Elephas maximus indicus: one gene and its partners. The protein of the gene in region 2 interacts with the protein of the main gene of each other region in a pairwise test. Links are inferred from orthologs where the notes say so. Each region holds a gene or a part of one and is shown on either strand. Other genes may lie near its edges. The genes, in order: YAE1, VIM and SIRT6.

Region 1 (3,747 bases), on a different chromosome or scaffold from region 2:
CTTGATTTTACGATGAACACTTGATCATATTCCTACTGTAGTAGCCTTTATAAATTCTGATTTCTGACAGTTTATTTTCCAAAATCCTAAACACAATGAATTTTTCTTGTTTTGATAACTTTTATTTTCAACCTGTTATTAGTGCTTCTTTGGAGCATTGTGTTTTTCTCTACTGAGGATAGTATAAAAGGTACAAAACATCAAAGAGGACAAGTCTGTCATGCTCCTGACTCCCTGTGTCATTTGACAAAGCCTTGGCTCTGATATATGCCATTGTTGCTATGGTATCTTGACAGGTATTCAATTACCAGAACTAAAGTAAATGGAGCCATTTTCTCTCTACTGCCATCTATAATTTTCATCATGTACTTCTAGTCTAGAGGTCTGTCACACTGTGTTCTGCCACTATGCGCCAAGACTAAAAGCTTATTCAAAACCTATAGATATTTTACTTTAGACATAGGTTGGTAGTAGTTTGGGTGGCAAAAATATATACCCTCCTACCATTTCTTTGCCAGAAAGGACCACACCTGGCTCATATCTTAAAGTAGATGAACTGATGATGTTTTTGACTCTTTGAGGCAATATTATGCTCTGCAGCTATGCTCTGCAGCATTCTTTTATGAGTTTAACACCAGGAAAAGCAATTCCGTTTAAATACTTCATTTTTACATACTACTTTCATAAACATTCTTCAGAACTATTACAGTTAAAATGATTCAAAACTTAAATTTTTAAAAGTACCTTAATGTTCCTCTGAGTTGTCCGTAGTTTATAATGACTTCTGCACCCTCCTTATAACCTTGATTGAAGCCCTGTTGAAGAGCAATTGCTTTGCCAGCATCTACTCCATCTCTGTAACCTTCCTAAATATAAGGAGGAAATGAAGAACTGTAGCTGCAACTAGTACTACAGGTAGGTTTTTCTAGAAAGGCCCAGAACTAATTTAGGAAATTGATGAAATGGGCCTTTACATTACTTAACATAATGGTTCCATAACATATGGCATAGCCACACAACCAAAGCAGCCTGTGCTTCCCATAGAAGTTTATTATTGGCTAATCTTTCTGGGGAGCCCTGGTGGCACAGTGGTTAAGCACTCAACTGCTAACTGAAAGGTTCAAACCCACCAGCTGCTCCAAAGGAGAAAGATATGGCAGTCTGCTTTTGTAAAGATTTACAGATTTGGAACCCTATGGGGGCAGTTCTACCCTTTCCTAGAGGGTCACCAGGAGTCAGAAACGACTGGATGGCAGCGGGTTTGGCTTTTGGTAATCTTTCTTTATCCCACTTTTGAAGTCTGGACTCACAGGGAAAATTTTAAAATACTGCTTCTTACACGGAGAATTACACATATGGCCCCTTGGCAGCAGCTCGGGTTGGTGGGTGAAGAAGCAGGGCAGTAAATGGGGTTGGGGAGGGTACCGAATAATTAAGTGAAGCAGGGAAAAAGAAGGGGAAGCTGGTTTCGGAAAACAAAGATGACACATCTGGTTCTAGAAATTCTGCTTCATATCTACATTCCAATAAACTGCAAACTTTTCGTGGGCATTTTCCACTAGTGCCATAGCAGTCAAACAAGGCTCAATATTTACTGCTTTAGCCTCAGCTTTACATAAACTATTTTTGCAATTGACAATATTGTTGCTGAGGTAAGCGAATATTACTTTACTGAAACACTACACAAGAGAGCAGACTTCCAACTGCAGCTTTAGGGACAATTTAATGGGGCAGTTCTACTCCGTCCTAAAGGGTCGCTATGAGTCGGAATCAACTCAACGGCAACGGGTTTGGTTTGGAATTACCCATTGACAATCCGTGGCCTTTACATTAAGTTCACCTTTTCCACAAAGTCTTGATTGACAGCACTCCTAATTTTAGGCTTCACACCCACCCAAGCACCCAAGTAAACTGTGCACATGCCCTTGACAGCAATAATTAGTACAGTCTGTTTACGTTTCTTTCCCACTTCATTCTCTGTAATCCTCATCAAACTGCAATCTCTTCAAAGTCTGGACAGTTTATTTTGGTCCGTCCCCAGCGTCAAACGCACCTTGTGGTCTGACACGCTTTCAAGAAACCCTTTGGGAAAGTCTAGCAAGATGCCGGCCGTGTTAGGTGGCAACGGGTAGGGAGGGCAGCGCCGGGCCAGGCTGGGGCCACTCTGCCTTCTACTCTCCGGACCAGTAATTCCACCATCCTCGCTCCCTCTCCCGGCAACCCGTCATCCCAGGAAACCCCCGCGTCCTACACCCAGCTTTACTTGGACTCGTCTGTGCATGTGGTTCCGCCATTCTCGCTGCACCAGAAGCGACTCGTCCGCCTCCTCATCAAACACATCCCCCTCGTCTCCAGGGCATCCGACCAAGCCAGCAGCTTGAACCCACGACATCACCGAGGCAACCAGGGGTCGCTCGGTACCGGAAGCACCGCAACTCCTTCCGGTCCGAGGGGGCGGGGCCCAGACGGCGAGTTGGGCTTTGGGCTGCGCGTGCGCGGCGGAGGTGTTCGGGTGTCTCGGCTGTGCGACCTTGTCTTATCTCTTCGTCGTGTATTGGAGCACCCTCAATTGACACAAAGGGTGGGTGCGTGGCGGTTGTGGGCAAGGCGGATTCCTTCCTTGCGAGGCCCGTGCGACCTTGGCGTCTGCGGAAGGCAGCCCCGGCTGTCAGTGAACATTCCCACCGTCGTCTCTACGGTGCCCTGAGTTTTCGAAGACGCGCGCATTGGTTAAAAACCTGCTAGGTAGTTAAATTGATTGGCAATTTAGCCAAAGACTCCGTTTAGAACCCCCCCACAGTGTGTTCGAATGGTTTTACAGCCCGGCATTTTTAACTGTTAGGAGCTTGGAGCAAAGAAGAATTAAATGGAAAAATTAGGTACAGCGACCGACTTGAGGCTAATAAGAGATATAAGGAGTATATTTGTAAAACGAATACATTTCTCACTGATTCACAGGGCCCTTCACTGGCTCCTGTTCTTCATCCACAAAGGAAACTGGGTGGCTTCGGGAAGCCAGGGACCAGTTTTATTAGCCTCGGCACACAGCACGGTGGTTCCCGCGCATAGTAGGTGTTCAAATAGACGTTTGTGAATGAATGGACACAGTAGCCTTCCGTTTTTTGTCCTTTGTGTAAGTGAAATGAGTCATGTGATAATGATTTATTTATCGACATATATTTCTGGAACACCCACTTTCTGCCCGGAACTGTTCTACGTTTTTGGGATATATTAATGAACAATATAGGCAAACGTTCCCAGCCTTCGTGGCCTTTTTATATTCATGTAGAATTGACGGATGATAAATAAGCAATATGAAAATAAGTTATATAGCTTGTTAGAAGATGATAAATGCTATGAAAAAAATTAAAAACAAGCAAAGTAACGGGAACCATGGGTGTGTGTGAGTGGGGCGCTGGTGATGCAAGTTACAACTTATGCAGAGAAAATTTTGCATCCCACAAATAAAGAATATTTATGTTTTTCTTGATATGTCCATGGAATACGTTTAAAAAACATTGTGTGCTCCCCCCTCCCCATAACCGAATAAAAAGAATAGTGATCTTACAGGTCAGACTCTCTGATCATAATCCAATAAAACTAATAATAAAAAATAAAAATGACCCCCAATAATTTTAACTATACTACCGGATATTAGAAACACCTTCCTAAATAGCATTTGCAACAAAAAGAAAATCAAAATTGGAATTACATAGGTAGAACGCAATTAAAATTAAAATACTTCAT
Region 2 (3,747 bases):
ACCCAGAACCTGCAGATCATTTTAAAAGTCGGGTGTGGTTTCATAGGGGGAGGGGGAAGAGTGAGAGGAGGCTGGAGTGAAGGGTGGGAGGGAACTTTTTAAGTAAAGCTATCACCAACTGCCCGGAGACCCGCAGTTGGCGACTCTCCAAGGTCTGCGGAAAGTTCCTTCTAAAAAGTGCGCACATTGGAACAAAATCACGATTTGGCGACTTCTTAAAAATAAAGGGTGCTCTTGGCTCCCCCACGGCTGGACCGTACACATCAAAGCGACCGCCGAGCTCTAAGTGGGGTAAGATTTAGAACAAAACACTGAGCGTGGGGCCCGCGGAGACTTAAGTCAACCTCGTCTAACGGTTTCCCTCGAACTGCTAGGCCCCCTAAACCTCTACCGGCCAGCAGGGCGCAGTGAGTCACCCTCAGTGACTCACAGACCCCGCCCCTCTTCCCTGGGCTTGTCTCGGCCACCGCCTCAGCCCCGGCCGTCCGAAGCCGGACGGAGTCCGTTAAGTCCCTGCACAGTACCCTCAAGACAAGACGAAGAAAAAAGACGAGGGTCCTAATTGTCCCCCCTTTCGAAGCGGGCAGCGCGCGAGGCTCCACAGGCCCAAGTCCTGCGTTCTCCGCTGCGCGCGACCCCACCCCACGCTCCAATTTCAGGCGCTCTTTGTTTCTTTCTCGCCGCCTCTGGATATGCTCGATCCTTTACTCCCCCTCTTCCTGCTCCTTTAGCCGAGGGTCTCTCCCCCCACCGGCTCCCAGTCTGCGCAGCCCTGTGTCCCAGCGCCCACCGCGCACCCCTCCCACCAGTGCGCCTCCTCCCACGTTCCTTTGGCGTGGTCCCCAGGACCCTTCTTATCCAGCCCGGGGCGCCTTCCCCAACCACCGCGCGACCCCCGCCTTTTTCGGCACCCAGGGGTGAGCAGACCTCCGGCAATTACGAGGAAAGCCCCCAAAGTCCTAGCCAAACTTAGCAAGTAACGGGACCGTGCCCAGTCCGGTGCTGCCAGGAGCCGGGAGGAGAAAGGCTTGAGGGCGCCCCCGCCCCAAACCCCCGCCCACTCCCCCCTCTTCTCGCCAGGTCCCCATTGGCTGGCGCGCTTCGCGGCTTGGATGGCAGTGGGAGGGGACCCTCTTTCCTAGCCGGGTTATAAAAACAGCGCCCTTGGCAGGGTCCCGTCCTCTGCCACTCTCGCTCCCGGGTCCCCGCGCCAGAGACGCAGGAGTGCTCCCACCGCACACCCACCGCGCCCTTGCTCGCCTCTCCTCCCGGAGCCAGTCCGCACAGCTGCAGCCGCCCAGCCCACCGCCACCCTCCGCAGCCATGTCCACCAGGTCCGTGTCCTCATCCTCCTACCGCCGGATGTTCGGCGGCCCCGGCACCGCAAGCCGGCCCAGCTCCAACCGGAGCTTCGTGACCACGTCCACCCGCACCTACAGCCTGGGCAGCGCGCTGCGGCCCAGCACCAGTCGCAGCCTCTATACCTCGTCCCCGGGCGGCGTGTTCGCCACGCGCTCCTCGGCTGTGCGCCTGCGGAGCAGCGTGCCCGGCGTGCGACTGCTGCAGGACTCGGTGGACTTCTCGCTGGCCGACGCCATCAACACTGAGTTCAAGAACACCCGTACCAACGAGAAGGTGGAGCTGCAGGAGCTCAATGACCGATTCGCCAACTACATCGACAAGGTGCGTTTCCTGGAGCAGCAGAACAAGATCCTGCTAGCCGAGCTCGAGCAGCTCAAAGGCCAGGGTAAGTCGCGCCTGGGAGACCTGTACGAGGAGGAGATGCGGGAGCTGCGTCGGCAGGTGGATCAGCTCACCAACGACAAGGCCCGCGTGGAGGTGGAGCGCGACAACCTGGCCGAGGACATCACGCGTCTCCGGGAGAAGTAAGGAGGAGCCCGGGCCACTTACGGGGGTTGGGGGGCGACGTCCGGGCAGGGCCGCGGGAAGAAGGGGGAGGGGAACGACGCCCTCCGAGGGGCTGCCACGCCCTTGGGGCGGTGGCGGCACGGGATTCCTAAACTCAGACCTTGCAGCTAGCATTTCCCCTTTGCACGCACTCATTGCCCAAGAACGCTCCGTTTCAGGCAACGGATTTCATAAAACTAAAAAAAAAAAAAAAAACCCACTTTGAAATTAAAGGCACTTGATAAAGATGAGAGTGGTTCGTCCAAACTTTTAAGAAAGTTTCCTGGCCCCTCCTGGCGGGCTGCCAGTAATGGGGCCGGAAGGAGGGAGGAGAGGATAGCTGTGGAGAACGCGAGACAAAGGATGGCCGTCTCCTCTGGGGCGGGAGTGGTGGCGTTTGCTTTGCAGGTCCTAGTGGCGACTGTGATTGCTTTTTCATGCTGCGGCCGAGGTCCCGCTAAAACTTGCCGAGGGCTGCAGTTCTACAAGGGCTGCAGTCGCTGGCTGCCGGCAGAGGCGGCTGTTGTCTCGTGGCGCAGCGACGTGGTGGTTGGGTGCGGCCGCCCTCCCCTGGCGGTTTCCCAGTTCCCCTTGGTTAATATGCAACTGTTTCAGGTTGCAGGAGGAGATGCTGCAGAGAGAGGAAGCCGAGAGCACCCTGCAATCTTTCAGACAGGTTTGTAGACTTCCTTCCCCTTCGTCGGCAGCGGAACCACCCAACCAACCCACTGGCGATTCTAAAAGTTACTTAGAACTTAAGTCCAAAGAGTGCAGAAGTTCACGTCTGTGCATACAGCCCCCTAGTGGTAGAAAGACCACAAATTGGAGCTTTTCCAGCTAAAAACCTTTGAGGGCTTTACCCTTTCTTTAGGACATAAATAAAGTCTTTAACTTTTTACTTTGTTTCAAGATTTTTTTCAAGGAAATAAAGACATTTCTTTCTTTCTTTTTTTTTTTTTTTTTGGGAACGCACTGACATTGTGATTTTGAACAGTTACAGTTTGATTTAGATTGTGGCTTGCTAAAGTTGGCCAACTTTTACAAGGCCACAAAAAGCGCAATTTATGCCCTGTAGTTTAAAAAGTAAAAGGTGTCGGAAGATGAGAAACTTAGTTTGACTGGCATGAAGCCAACAAGTTTCCTTTCTTTGCCAGTTCTATTGTGGCGGTAAAGTTAGGTGGAAGTATCGCTATGCACAACTATTTTGTGATCTAATAAGGGTGAAAAGGAGCCATCTGTCCTCTTGGCTGAAGGCTATTAATGGTTTCTATGGGATTCACTATGGAATGTAGATACAGACATTCTGCAAATGTGGTGGCTTTGGACGGAAATAATAGGAGTCTTTGTGTTCCCAGAGAAGCTTTGCAACAGGCTACATTCTTATTGAATATGTAATGATGTAAGCGCAGTTCTAATTGGACACAAGTATTTGCTAACATCGTGATCTCCGTTATCTAATACCTGGCCCAGCTTGTGAAGTATGTGATGTGAAAAGTTTTTAAAGCTACAGTCATACATCAGATTTTGAAAGGCCGTTATTGGCTTCTTATATTCTTTAGCACTGCCCACAAAAATAAAGAAGAAACCTAAGGCTGATGAATACAATTTTAAGTAAAGGATTTTTTTTTTCTCCAATGTTATAGTGGAAGGAATTTTAGCTTAAAATTAAAACCAAGACGATTTCCCAGCACAGTTTATTCTCCTGAACACTTACTGGAATTGGCTGTACAAGCACTCTAAGATGAATAGCCTAGGATGATATTTTGAAACTGAAATACATTTGCCAAATTAATTTCAGTGCACAGCAATGTGTGGTATTCATTGTAGTCATTGAGCATT
Region 3 (3,747 bases), on a different chromosome or scaffold from region 2:
TATGGATGAGGAAACCGCAGCCCAGAAGGGTTAGGCCACTTGTCCGAGGTTACCCAGTAACACCAGGTGCTATGAGAAAATACCTGCAAGCGTGTGTAGATAATTGTTCCCTGATGTCAATTCTCCCCCATCTTCTATGACAATAAAACCAGTTGCCTTTGAGTTGACTGTAACCCATGGTGACCCCATGTGTGTCAGAGGAGAACTGTGTTCCATAGGGCTTTTTTAAAAATAATATTTTATTGTGTTTTCACAGCAGTTTAGGCTCCCATTTAAGTTTCTGTACGAGTTGTCCATAGGGTTTTCAGTGGCTGATTTTTCAGTAGATTGCCAGGCCTTTCTTCCAAGGCACCTCTGGGTGGAGTTGAACTGCAAACCTTTCAGTTAGCAGCTGAGCACAGTAACTGTAGGCGCCACCCAAAGATTCCTCTATGGTAACATTGTTGGGTGCCATCAAGTTGATTCCAACTCATAGTGACCCTAGATGACAACAGGACTTCCCCATAGGGTTTTCTTGGCTGTAATCTTTAGAGGAGCAGGTCACCAAGTCTTTTCTCCCCCAGAGCCTCTGGTGGGTTCAAATCAGGACCTTTCCTCTGGTTAGCAGCCGAGTGCTGGCCCCCACATGGGTGGCTAAAGACTACATTTCCCAGCATTCCTTGCGGCTAATGTTAGGTGGCCAAGATCCGGCCAATGAAGTATAAGTGGAATGTTGGGCCTGACTTAAAGGGTAAGTCCGAAAGGGAGAGGGCAACCTCTCAACACCCTGCCAACATCCCAGGGACAGATGGCCCAGGACCCAGGAAGGGGACAATCAGTGGGATGGGTCCAGGTGCCCAGGCATCTATGAGCTGACAGGGAAGCCCGTGGCGGGCCCTGCCTCAACCTCCCCTCTCCGAACACAGACCTGAAGTCGGGGATACCGGAGGAGGTGCTGATGCCGGCGCCTGTGTGGAAGACCACATTGGAGGCCTCCCAGAGCAGCTGGGCCAGCGCCCACACCTTCCGCTCCAGCTCCTCTGGGGGGTCGAAGATCTGTTGGGAGAGAATGGGAGGGTGGGGTCGGAACGCGCCCTACAAGCATGGAGACCAAGAGCCACAGATGGACTGACGTGCTATGCTCAGGGGGAGGAGACAGGGTTGGAAAGCACAGCTTGTCTTGGCGTCCCTCCTCTGCCTGTAGCCCACCATGGCTCCCACCTTATTCCGTAAAAGTCCTCCCTGCCCTGTCCCCGCCCTGCCCTCCCCTCCTCCTCGGCTCTCCCCTTCACTCATCCCGCTCCAGCCACAAGGGCCAACTCACCAGGCACGGTCCTGCCTCAGGGTCTTTGCCCAGGCTGTTCCCTCTGCCTGGAGTGCTCTTCCCTCAGATCATCACGCCAACCACTCCCTCACCTCCTTGAGGTGTTGGCTCAAATGTCATCTCAATGAGGCCTCCCTGGTTACCCAGTTTCAATGCCGCCTTTCCCTCCACCCCCAGCTCTCCCAGATTAATTTTTCTCCATAGCTCTTAGCACCACCTGACTTATTACGTTCATTTGTTTCTTGTCGGTGTCCCCCAGTAGAATGAGAGGGTTTTGTCTGTCCTGTGTCCTACAAAGTGCTTAGTACACAGTTGCCATCAAGTCGACTCCAACTTAGGGTGACCCATGTGTATCAGTGTAAAACTGTGCCCCCACAGGGTTTTCGATGGCTTATTTTTTGGAAGTAGGTCACCAGACCTTTCTTCCGAGGTGCCTCTGGGTGGACTCGAACCTTTAATCTTTTGGGAGCAGCTGAGCATGTTCACAGTTTGCACCACCCAGGGACTTCTGGTACACAGTAGGTGCACAATAAATGTTTGTGGAATAAGATGAATAATGGAAGGGATTCACACCATCTGAGAGTTTATTAAACGTATGATTAGAAAAGAATGGGCCAGCCTTTATGAGATGGGAACCATGTTGTCCTTCAGCTTACAGAAGGGGAGATGGAAGCCCATAAGGGAAGAGACCCGCCTAAGGTCCCTCAGTAGGTGGTGGGCACAGACTGTTACTCCATTTCCTCCCAGAGTGGCTGGAGGGATCTTTCGGACCCTCCTCAATCTGTCCCGGTCGGTACCTCCCCAGCTCAAAACCCTTCCCCATCACACTTCCCAGCCTGCCATTTGAGGCCCGTCCTGGCCGGCCTCTGAAGATCTCTTTGCCCTACTCTGTTCTCCAAGTGTGTTTATCCCACATTCCTGCCTTCGCCCTGGCTATTCCCTCCCCCTGGAACTACGTGCCCTCCGCCTAGAACTGCGTGCCCTCCTCCACCACCAGCCTTCAGGCCTTCCCCGACCTCAGTCCCAGCCTGGCCCACCCAGAGCTGGGCGTGTTCGTGTCCCCGGGCGCGCAGGGGTCGTCACTTCCCGCCCCCTCCTCACTGGGAAGTCCCTCCCATTGTCTAACCTCAGTGCCTCCTGATACTCCCACAATGCCCCGCTGCTGGCCAGCCCCTCCCAGCCCGCGACCCTGGGGGCGCACTTCGGGGCCCCAGGCCGCGCTCACCTCGGGGAGGCCGCATTTGCCCTTGTCAGCATACGGCGACAGCCCCGCCGCGTAATTCACCGACATCCTCGCTCATCCAACGGGAACAATAAAGTTTCCCTTGTTGAGGCCGCTTCCGCCGGAAATGGGGCGGGCGGGGCGGAAGGAGGGGCAGCGCTCTTTTTCTACGGGCCCGGCGTCTTCCTCCAAGGCGCATGCGCGTGTTCGTGAGGCTGCAGGCGCCATCTTAACTGCTGGCAGAAGGAATTCCCGGTTCCCTGTCCAAACTCGCAGGGGTGGTTAAGGGGCTGCGAAGATTGGGGCGGCAGCTCACGTGAGAGTTCTGCAGTTTCTTCTAGAATGAAGTGCATAAGCGATCAGTACCCCATTCCCTTGTTTTATAAATGAGTAAACTGATGTCCCTGTCACCCCCAGTAAGGACATAGCCAGGAGGGCAGGGACCCAGGACTCCTGCTTCTCTACACCAAGGATCTTTCTTCTGCACATTTCAGAAGTTTATAAAGTTACAAAACGCAGGGTAGGAGAGTGAAACTGCACAAGGTTGTTGAGGCTGGTGGCCTTGAGTACCATGTTGAGCACCTACTGTGTTCTGGGCAGACCCTGGAGAACAAAGAAGACACGATTCCCTACTCGTTGTTAGTGATGGACGCAAGCATCTGGCCAGTCAAAGGTGTCACAGTGTGGTTGAGGTGCTACGGGGAACGACGAGGGCACAGAGCAATGAAGGAGCTCGGAGGTGGCACTTCACCCAGCCTGGGGGCGTCCCGGGAGGGCTTCCTGGAAGGGGAATGACGTTGCAGCAAAGACCTCAAGAGTGAGTAGCGTGAGGTGGAGTGAGTGAGCCAGTTCGGGGTGACGTGGGGTTCAGAAAGTGGACTCCTGGCAGAGGACTCCTGACAAGTGCAAAGGCTGGGAAGACAGCAAGATCATGGCTGGTTCCAGAAACTGAAATCAGTCCAGTGATGATGGGAGGAGAGCATCTTCCCGCCAGAGCCCGTCGATCAACGGGCAGCCCCGCTGCCAGCCTGTCTCCTCCCTCAGCTCATCCCCGGCCCCCTGGGGCAGCTGCCTGCTCAGAGCTGATCAAGTGTCAGAGCTTAGTGCCCAGAGCGGCTGGTGTGAGCTCACAGCCCGGCTGGGAGTGGGCAACTGGAGCCGGCAGCCTGCACGGTGGCCTGGTGCTGGGGCACTGGAGCTGCAGGAGGTAGGAGAGGAAAGG

The links.
Region 1: the proteins of VIM (region 2) and YAE1 interact in a two-hybrid assay, tested with the Homo sapiens proteins (2 studies listed by BioGRID and IntAct). The link is inferred for Elephas maximus indicus from reciprocal best matches to the Homo sapiens genes VIM and YAE1.
Region 3: the proteins of VIM (region 2) and SIRT6 interact in a two-hybrid assay, tested with the Homo sapiens proteins (2 studies listed by BioGRID and IntAct). The link is inferred for Elephas maximus indicus from reciprocal best matches to the Homo sapiens genes VIM and SIRT6.

What each region holds. Positions count from the first base shown.
Region 1 is NC_064826.1:101,776,541-101,780,287, reverse strand, and holds the start of YAE1 (protein YAE1 homolog), read right to left. Parts: upstream 2,441-3,747; 5' UTR 2,393-2,440; coding exon 2,264-2,392; intron 867-2,263; coding exon 745-866; intron 1-744. UniProt on the Homo sapiens protein: The complex LTO1:YAE1 functions as a target specific adapter that probably recruits apo-ABCE1 to the cytosolic iron-sulfur protein assembly (CIA) complex machinery. May be required for biogenesis of the large ribosomal subunit and initiation of translation.
Region 2 is NC_064822.1:39,613,761-39,617,507, reverse strand, and holds the start of VIM (vimentin), read left to right. Parts: upstream 1-1,167; 5' UTR 1,168-1,323; coding exon 1,324-1,886; intron 1,887-2,523; coding exon 2,524-2,584; intron 2,585-3,747. UniProt on the Homo sapiens protein: Vimentins are class-III intermediate filaments found in various non-epithelial cells, especially mesenchymal cells. Vimentin is attached to the nucleus, endoplasmic reticulum, and mitochondria, either laterally or terminally.
Region 3 is NC_064821.1:7,230,815-7,234,561, forward strand, and holds the start of SIRT6 (NAD-dependent protein deacylase sirtuin-6), read right to left. Parts: upstream 2,634-3,747; 5' UTR 2,595-2,633; coding exon 2,529-2,594; intron 1,036-2,528; coding exon 908-1,035; intron 1-907. UniProt on the Homo sapiens protein: NAD-dependent protein deacetylase, deacylase and mono-ADP-ribosyltransferase that plays an essential role in DNA damage repair, telomere maintenance, metabolic homeostasis, inflammation, tumorigenesis and aging.